Linked DNA regions of Bombyx mori. The protein of the gene in region 1 purifies or fractionates together with the protein of each later gene. This does not show direct contact. Links are inferred from orthologs where the notes say so. Each region holds a gene or a part of one and is shown on either strand. Other genes may lie near its edges.

What was found.
Region 2: the proteins of kinesin light chain (region 1) and JNK-interacting protein 1 purify together in Drosophila melanogaster (affinity purification with western blotting, with the first as the bait; 3 studies listed by BioGRID). This does not show direct contact. The link is inferred for Bombyx mori from reciprocal best matches to the Drosophila melanogaster genes Klc and Aplip1.

What each region holds. Positions count from the first base shown.
Region 1 is NC_085124.1:2,401,239-2,405,074, reverse strand, and holds part of kinesin light chain, read left to right. Parts: intron 1-290; coding exon 291-407; intron 408-413; exon of another isoform or gene 414-1,790; intron 1,791-2,583; exon of another isoform or gene 2,584-3,836. UniProt on the Drosophila melanogaster protein: Kinesin is a microtubule-associated force-producing protein that may play a role in organelle transport. The light chain may function in coupling of cargo to the heavy chain or in the modulation of its ATPase activity.
Region 2 is NC_085107.1:7,548,401-7,552,236, reverse strand, and holds part of JNK-interacting protein 1, read left to right. Parts: intron 1-540; coding exon 541-703; intron 704-2,513; coding exon 2,514-2,695; intron 2,696-3,451; coding exon 3,452-3,524; 3' UTR 3,525-3,836. UniProt on the Drosophila melanogaster protein: The JNK-interacting protein (JIP) group of scaffold proteins selectively mediates JNK signaling by aggregating specific components of the MAPK cascade to form a functional JNK signaling module.

The DNA.
Region 1 (3,836 bases):
TGCGTTTCGGTTTGAAGGGTGGGGCAGCCGCTGTACTGTCGCAACTGAGATCTTAGAACCTTTGTCTCAAGATGGGTGGCGGTATATACGCTGTTGTTGCTTACGGACTCCGACTGACCGTGAACTCGTCGTGAATTTTTTTTATTGTTTAGATGGGTGGACGAGCTCACAGTCCATCTAGTGTTAAGCGGTTATTGGAGCCTATAGACATCTACAACGTTCAGATTGAGTTCTAAGGTCTCAGTATAGTTAGATAGACTTAGAGCTAACTGTAGGGCGTGGTGCCGCAGGTGGACTCTCCGACAGTGACCACAACGCTGAAGAACCTGGGCGCGCTGTACCGGCGCCAGGGCAAGTACGAGGCCGCCGAGACCCTCGAGGACTGCGCCCTTCGGAGCCGGAAAGAGGTACAGCACACTCGACTACCTTCTAGTCAAAAAACGGTGCGCGTGCAACTAGGGGCACGTGAATGAAGTGAAACTTCTTTTTCGATGTGTAGTACCTATTGTGGTTTTCTTCATTTTTCATCCTTAAATCAGATTGGCTCTTGTAATAGGGAATGCTGTGTATAAGAGATGCGACATCTTCAATATTTAAATTTTATATTTATAGAAAAATAAATATATAATATATTTAAATACTTCATTAAAATATTGGGCGCTACTCGTTGCTAACGCTCGCGCTGTAACAGATATACTACGCGCACGCGTTCGAGTGCCACGCATACACTCTCGCTCTGTCTCTTTCAATTCCCCCTCCCAAGGAGCGTTGAACGTTTAACGCAACCTTGTATGAAGTCGCATTAGAAGTTTCACTTCAAAACTACTATTTAAAATAAAACAGAGCACGATACAGTCATTGCGTTTGTAAACAAGGAAAAAATGTATTTAGAGGATTGACTTTAGGTCTAAGGAATGTATTGATTTATTGAGAGGTTTAGCTGAATACGTAATTAGTGGAAAAACACGTTTTGATGGTAACAAAAGAATAGTCTTTTGGAATAGGGTGAATTGAAAGTATAGAAGTCGACCGTGATACAGGTAATCCTCCTATAACGCGGTTTCATTCTAACACGAAAAGAAAAATTCGGTACGATAATTCTAAAACACGATAACGAAATTTTTGTATAAATTATTTAGAGACTAGTGGTAGGACCTCTTGTGAGTCCGCACGGGTAGGTACCACCGCCCTGCCTATTTCTGCCGTGAAGCAGTAATTCGTTTCGGTTTGAAGGGTGGGACAGCCATGTAACTATACTTGAGACGTTACAACTTATATCTCAAGGTGGGTGGCGCATTTACGTTGTAGATGTCCCGTTGTAGAACCACTTAACACCAGGAGGGCTGTGAGCTCGTCCACCCATATAAGCAATAAAAAATAACCGAAATTTTACCGCTTATTTTTTTTAATGTATAATATAATAGGTAAAAAAAATACACTAAAGTATAATTCTAGGGTCGGCAGACTAAAGCACATAAGTCAAAATTTTCAATTTATTTTTTATTACATCATCGGTTTACATTTTGCTCAACACACAATCTGACTAAAGCACATAAATCAAACTCAAGTATTTCATGGCGTATTCAAGCGGCGTTCTGTATCAACCTTATCAAATCCTAATATAGTCAAACGAACTAAAAAACATAACTGGACTTATGTTCTAAGGAACACCATAAGTACAAAGTTATTAACGTAAGAAGTCTGACTTATGTTATAAAGAACATCAAAATGTAACATTTCTTTAGAGAAAGTGGTTACTTAAAAATATTTATAACGTAAACAATACTTCGGTAAGTGGTTTTAATTTACTAATGTTGTCGATTGTGCACAGTTTGTTGGTTAGTTTTGTGTGAGTGCTTAAGTATTTTAATTATTTAAGATGAATATTCAAAGAGGCAAGAAATTAGTTGAAATGGCGTCATCCACTCATCTGGAAAGCAATGAAGGTATATTTTCACATATCTTCAAAATTATGATTTGCAAATTACGTAATTATATCAATATTATATCATTATAAATAGATAATTAATTGTCTTGTCCTTTTTTAGAAAATGTAAATCAACAGTCGATTTTGAACACAGAGTTCTAGTAGAACCTAGTAGTAGACGATCCTATACCGTCGACATCATCAGGTCAAGTCAGTAGCTTAACATACTATTCTGTACTTGACTTCTCTAGTGATGATTCTGTACGAGATCCATGTTATGAATTACCGAGACTTCCAATCACATCAAGTTCAAGTACTTGTGATGAAATTTCAATGAATCCTAATGTGTCTCCAAAAAAGAGTATACGTACTATAAAAAGAGAAAAAAGAATAAAACGTAACTTAGGACAGGCATACAAAACTTTAAAAGGAAAATGTACATCAGATCGCACTATGAATTAAAAAAAATATTTGAGAAAAAGAAAAAAAAAAGCCCGCTGAGTTTGTTTCGCCGGTTCTTCTCAGGACTGTGGCTTTTTTGGAACCGGTGGTAGAGATAACATTGTTATTTATATTTTGACATTCAATAAGTGTGTTATACTGACATCTAAGTTGAAATAAATGATTTTGAATTTGAAAGAGTTACCTGTTTGCAGAATGAAATGTAAAGAACGTATACCATTAACTGATAGGCGTGCCATATTTACAGAATATTGGCAAATGGGGTCATATGCAAAAAGATCTGCATACTTGGCGTCTTTAATGGAAATTCAAAATAAATCTAAGCAAAGAATACGAGCTATTGAACCTGAAAAGCAAAAGCTTAGAATGAAGACATAAAAATACTTTTTTACTGTGCATGGTAAACATGAACCTGTCTGCCGAGGATGTTTAATGAAACCGTTAGATGAAAGTGACAATTTTATAAAGACAGTTGCTATGAAAAGGAGATCATCCATAGGGGGTTCTCAAACTGATGATATAATATCTATACAGCCATTACCCATATCCATCGAGGAAAAAAAAGATTTAATTTCGCTGCTCCCTTTAATACTAGATATTTTCCATGAATTTTACATAAGTCTTCCCACGTTGGAAACTTTACGAAATACTGATCCAGATATTTTAGAACTCGATGAAGAAGAAGAATTTTAATTAAACATTGAGTTGTTATTTATATTTATGACTTATATTATTATAATATATATCTTAATTGTTGATCTTTTTCACTTAACTCATACTATTATTGTGTTCCTTATAACTTAAGTCATCTAATTATTAAATAATCACATTTAATTTAAAATATTTAATTTTAATAATAAGTTAGTGTTATAGACTTATATAATTCAAATAAACATTATTAAGTTTGTTAATGTATAAGATTCTAAATAGTTTTTTTTAATTCCTGTAAAGTAGAGTTTTTTGACTTATGTGCTTTAGTCTGCTGACCCTAGAATTGAGATGTTTCATTATGCACGCTGCCCTATTAGCACGTACCGCAAGTAAGTTAAAAAGCGAACTATACTATTGGAATAGAATTAGTTACCCTTAATGCAGACAGACAATTCTGTTTGGCTTCAAAACTTCAATGTTTCTCGTGCTCATTTATAAATGATTTACAAATCTATACTAATATATAAATCTACAGTGGTTTTACGGATGTTCCATTATAACTACTGAACCGTGCAACCGATTGACTTGAAACTTGGTATCCATGTAGAAAATACATGTACAGTACGACCGACGTAACTTGGCGAGTCTGAATATAGCCGCAGGTCAACTTTCGCGCATGTACACTTGTAAAAAAAAGTGTTATTAGTATTCATTTTTTAAAATCAAAATACGAATTAAAATTTCCATATACAGGGACCAAGTACAAATAAAATGAATATCAAAACACTATGAGAGA
Region 2 (3,836 bases), on another chromosome or scaffold:
TGAGTAATTTGTCAATTATGGGCATGGAAAGTGATATCCTTCAAAAAGTTTACTTTAAAGATATAATGAAATATTTTTCTCAACAGAAATCCCGAAAGAAACCATTATCGTAATCGTAACCAAAAAACCAGCAGCATTCTAATATAATTAATATTTTTATATCATACTGTATTTGATTACCTATAATAAATGGTCATACTCAGTAAAAAATGTTATTATAATTCGCTTTTTTTACTTTCCAAAAGGGCCTCAAATTCTTGTGTGCCCAAGGGCCCCAGCCTAGTTTAAGACGTCCCTGTCGACAGCTTAATAGTTAGTAGCCGCAAGTAAGTAGTACATAGCATTACGAGAGCCGACCTCAGCTCTCGGTCGGAATCAGTACAAGAAAGAAAGAAGAGGAAGAAAGATATTTCAAAATGTTCGAGATCTGCGTATATTTGTTCTTGTGTCGTGTGTATTTCTTTCCTTTACCCGTAACACTTATTTTTATAACTATATGTAATCTTTATATTTATGTATTCTTGATTAATTTATTTATAGGTATATGGGCTCCGTAGAAACTTTAGCCCATAAAGGTACAGGTGTCGTTTGCCAAGCTGTAAAAAAGATTGTCGGTGAATGCAGCACTGAACCTACCATTCAGCCTTGTATTCTTGAAGTATCTGATCAGGGGCTTCGTATGGTTGACCGTTCCAAGCCAGAGGTAAGTATAAGACATACTTAAAGTCTGTACGTTATATTTCATTCGTAATCCGTGTGTCAAACCAATAACCGTCATTACGTCCTATTTGAAACATAATAATTTAATTTAAAATCGAACTTTTACTAATTATATAATTTTAATGAAATTTAAAACCGCTTTCAACTTCAAAATTAAAAAGTAACAGCTAATACGTATAGAAATGTAAGAAGAATTTCTTAAGTTCAAAAGAATTTCAAAACGATATATTTTAATTACGATAAACATAGCTGCTTGCAAATAACCTTGATAAAAATTATAAATAAACGGACATCTTCAAATGGTTGATTATTTCATATTTTCATCGTAAAATTATCATTCGATTTTAAATGTTCAACTTGTTTGAAGCGGGACTACTCTGATGATAAAACCAAATATTTACAATATTATTCAACACGTGCTAAATGTAAAATTAAAGCGTTTTTTCTTTTAAACACGTCCATCAATTTTGATGTTCTACAGTTCGGTATTCGTAAACAGTCTATAATTCATTCTAACGTCTATCGTAATAAAAATTTTGAAACTTGTATTTGTTATTACAAGAAAAGAATTATTAAGGAACAAACGCGTGTGTTTATGTGAGACAAATAATAATGCTTCATACATACATTACTATGCTTTTACGTCTGTAACGTTAAAAGAGAAGGTTTGGATTTCTTCAGATGAAGGTTTACTATATGATATTTTAGTTTTTAATCTCTACTTATTCAGCAGTTTACATAAATATGTACACTTTTCAATATCAATTTCATATTTCAGTAAATTAAACTCAACAATTTCGAAGCAACACTTTTTCATGATCATACAAACCGGTGATTTCAGTATTACATTTTTTATGGCAAACAAGTGAAAACATTCTCGTCGAGGAAACATAGATTACGAGTTAAATACGAACGAATCTATTTTTCACCTTGCCAATCATTCTGATGAGTTAAAACACATGCTCTGGGATTTATTTCACATTGCTGATAAATAGCATCTCATAATGAATAACATACCATACTATAAATTACATTAGATACTAAAGGTAAACTAAAAAATTCAACTGAAAAGTACACATTCCAGTTTATGCTAGCTTCCCAAATTAAATTTCCGTTTCAAGAATTGTGAATATCTACTTATTAGCTATCGTTATTGCCTGTTTTTTTTTCATTGTATTCTCATAGTACGCTCTCACGACCCACCAGCTTAAGTGGTTATCGGAAGCCATAGATATCAATCACCTCGTAAATGCCGTCACCTACCTTCACACGTAGGTTCTAAAGTTGCATTTGTATAGTTTAACCGCTATCCCGGTCATGAATCAGAAACCAGTAACTGCTTTGTGGCAAAAACGGACAGACTAGGGGCTCCTACCAGTGCAGCCTGACAATACGTCCGACCGCCAGTAATTTTTTATTCACGTTTGCATACGAATTTTGTAAATTTCTTTAGTAATATGTTACATTACTTTAAATCTCCTAGGGCCAAAAAATATATAAAAAGAAATATTATGTAAAAACTACAACTGTATTTCTGTAGGCTGTGCTGATTTGAAATATCACGTTCCCATATTCAGAAAATCCATTCTGCCATTATTTTCGCTAAATATAGCTCAAGTTGGTTTTACGAAACCAGCGACGGTATAGTCTTCTTATGACTCTGCCCAGCGCACACCACAATCCTGCTTGTTTAATTTGGAATGCCAAATTCGGAAATTTATATTATAAAACCTAATGTAATCTGACTGGACTGGTTTGTTAATTGATTGTTTTCTACTCTTTGTGTACTACAGAGAAATCGCAACGGACCCTGTATCGATTACTTTTACTCGCTGAAGAACGTATCGTTTTGCGCTTTCCATCCTCGAGATCATCGTTACCTGGGTTTCATCACAAAACACCCGACCCTTCAACGATTCGCTTGCCACGTATTTCGAGGACAGGAGTCTACCAGGCCAGTCGCAGAAGCAGTCGGGTAAGACAATGTACATCTTATGTCCTGCTTTAAAAACGAATGTGAGCTAGTAACTAATAAACTCACTCTACAACGCAACAGTTTTTATCAAGAGCAGCATTAAAACTTGAAAACTAGTATAAATATAAAGGTAAAGAAGCCTTTATTAAGAACCTTAATTCATATTTAGGTACATACTATTAATGTAATTTTCCTACACATTTGACACCGGCAAAGGTTATCTTGTATAGTGTTTTTAATATAGGCTTACGAACGACTTTTGCCATTAAAGCTTGCAATAGATAAAATAATAAAATGGCGTTTTAATGCTAATAGAAAGAATCGGGAATTACTACTAGGAAAGGTCGTATAATAGCTCTCGAATGTACGGAGCGTAGTACGAAGTAAAAAGGATGTCTTAAAATAGTTTCAGCAGTAAGAATGCACTCTGCTACTCTGCATTGTCGGTTGGTGCGATGGTAAAAACGGTATTAGTAGCTCAAACGACTGCTCAGAGGACTTCCTGTGGAACTTACTCACAGAACTCCAAGATTTTTCCTTTTTTTTCCCTACCTGTGCTGATAGACTTGAGAGGCTATTTCAGCTTTACCCTAACGTGTAGGTGAGCTGACGGGGCTCAAACCGGAAGTGTTGCTAACACTGGTCCTAGCAAGTGCAGTGTTTCGCAGAATCCACCACCGGATCGGAAACGCGACCCAATTTCTCCGTTGACTAATTAATCAATTAATCAATTTCTGTATTGCTTTTTTTTTTCAGGAGAGCTTTTCAAAGATTTTATCAGAAGTTTATCGAGACAGCGTACCCAATTGAGGACATCTACATAGAATAGGGAATGAACGATAATAATCATCAGTAATTTATTGAAGCTTTTTTGTTGTAGTTATATCACGTCAGGCATGTTTAGTGAATGGTTATTTTATGAATTAACAAATGTCGCAAATTTACGCTGACCCTAATGAGTCAATTGCTTAGTGAAATGTATTGTTCACTTGTATTTAAAGGGTTTTTTCGGTGGTTATTGCATCTCTGGCTTTACTTCAAAGACTTCGAACTTCAAAGAATGAATGTAGTATTTATATAAAATATAATTTGAAAATTAAGTTATCTTCCTAATGTACCGATTTTACGAGATTAAATTGAC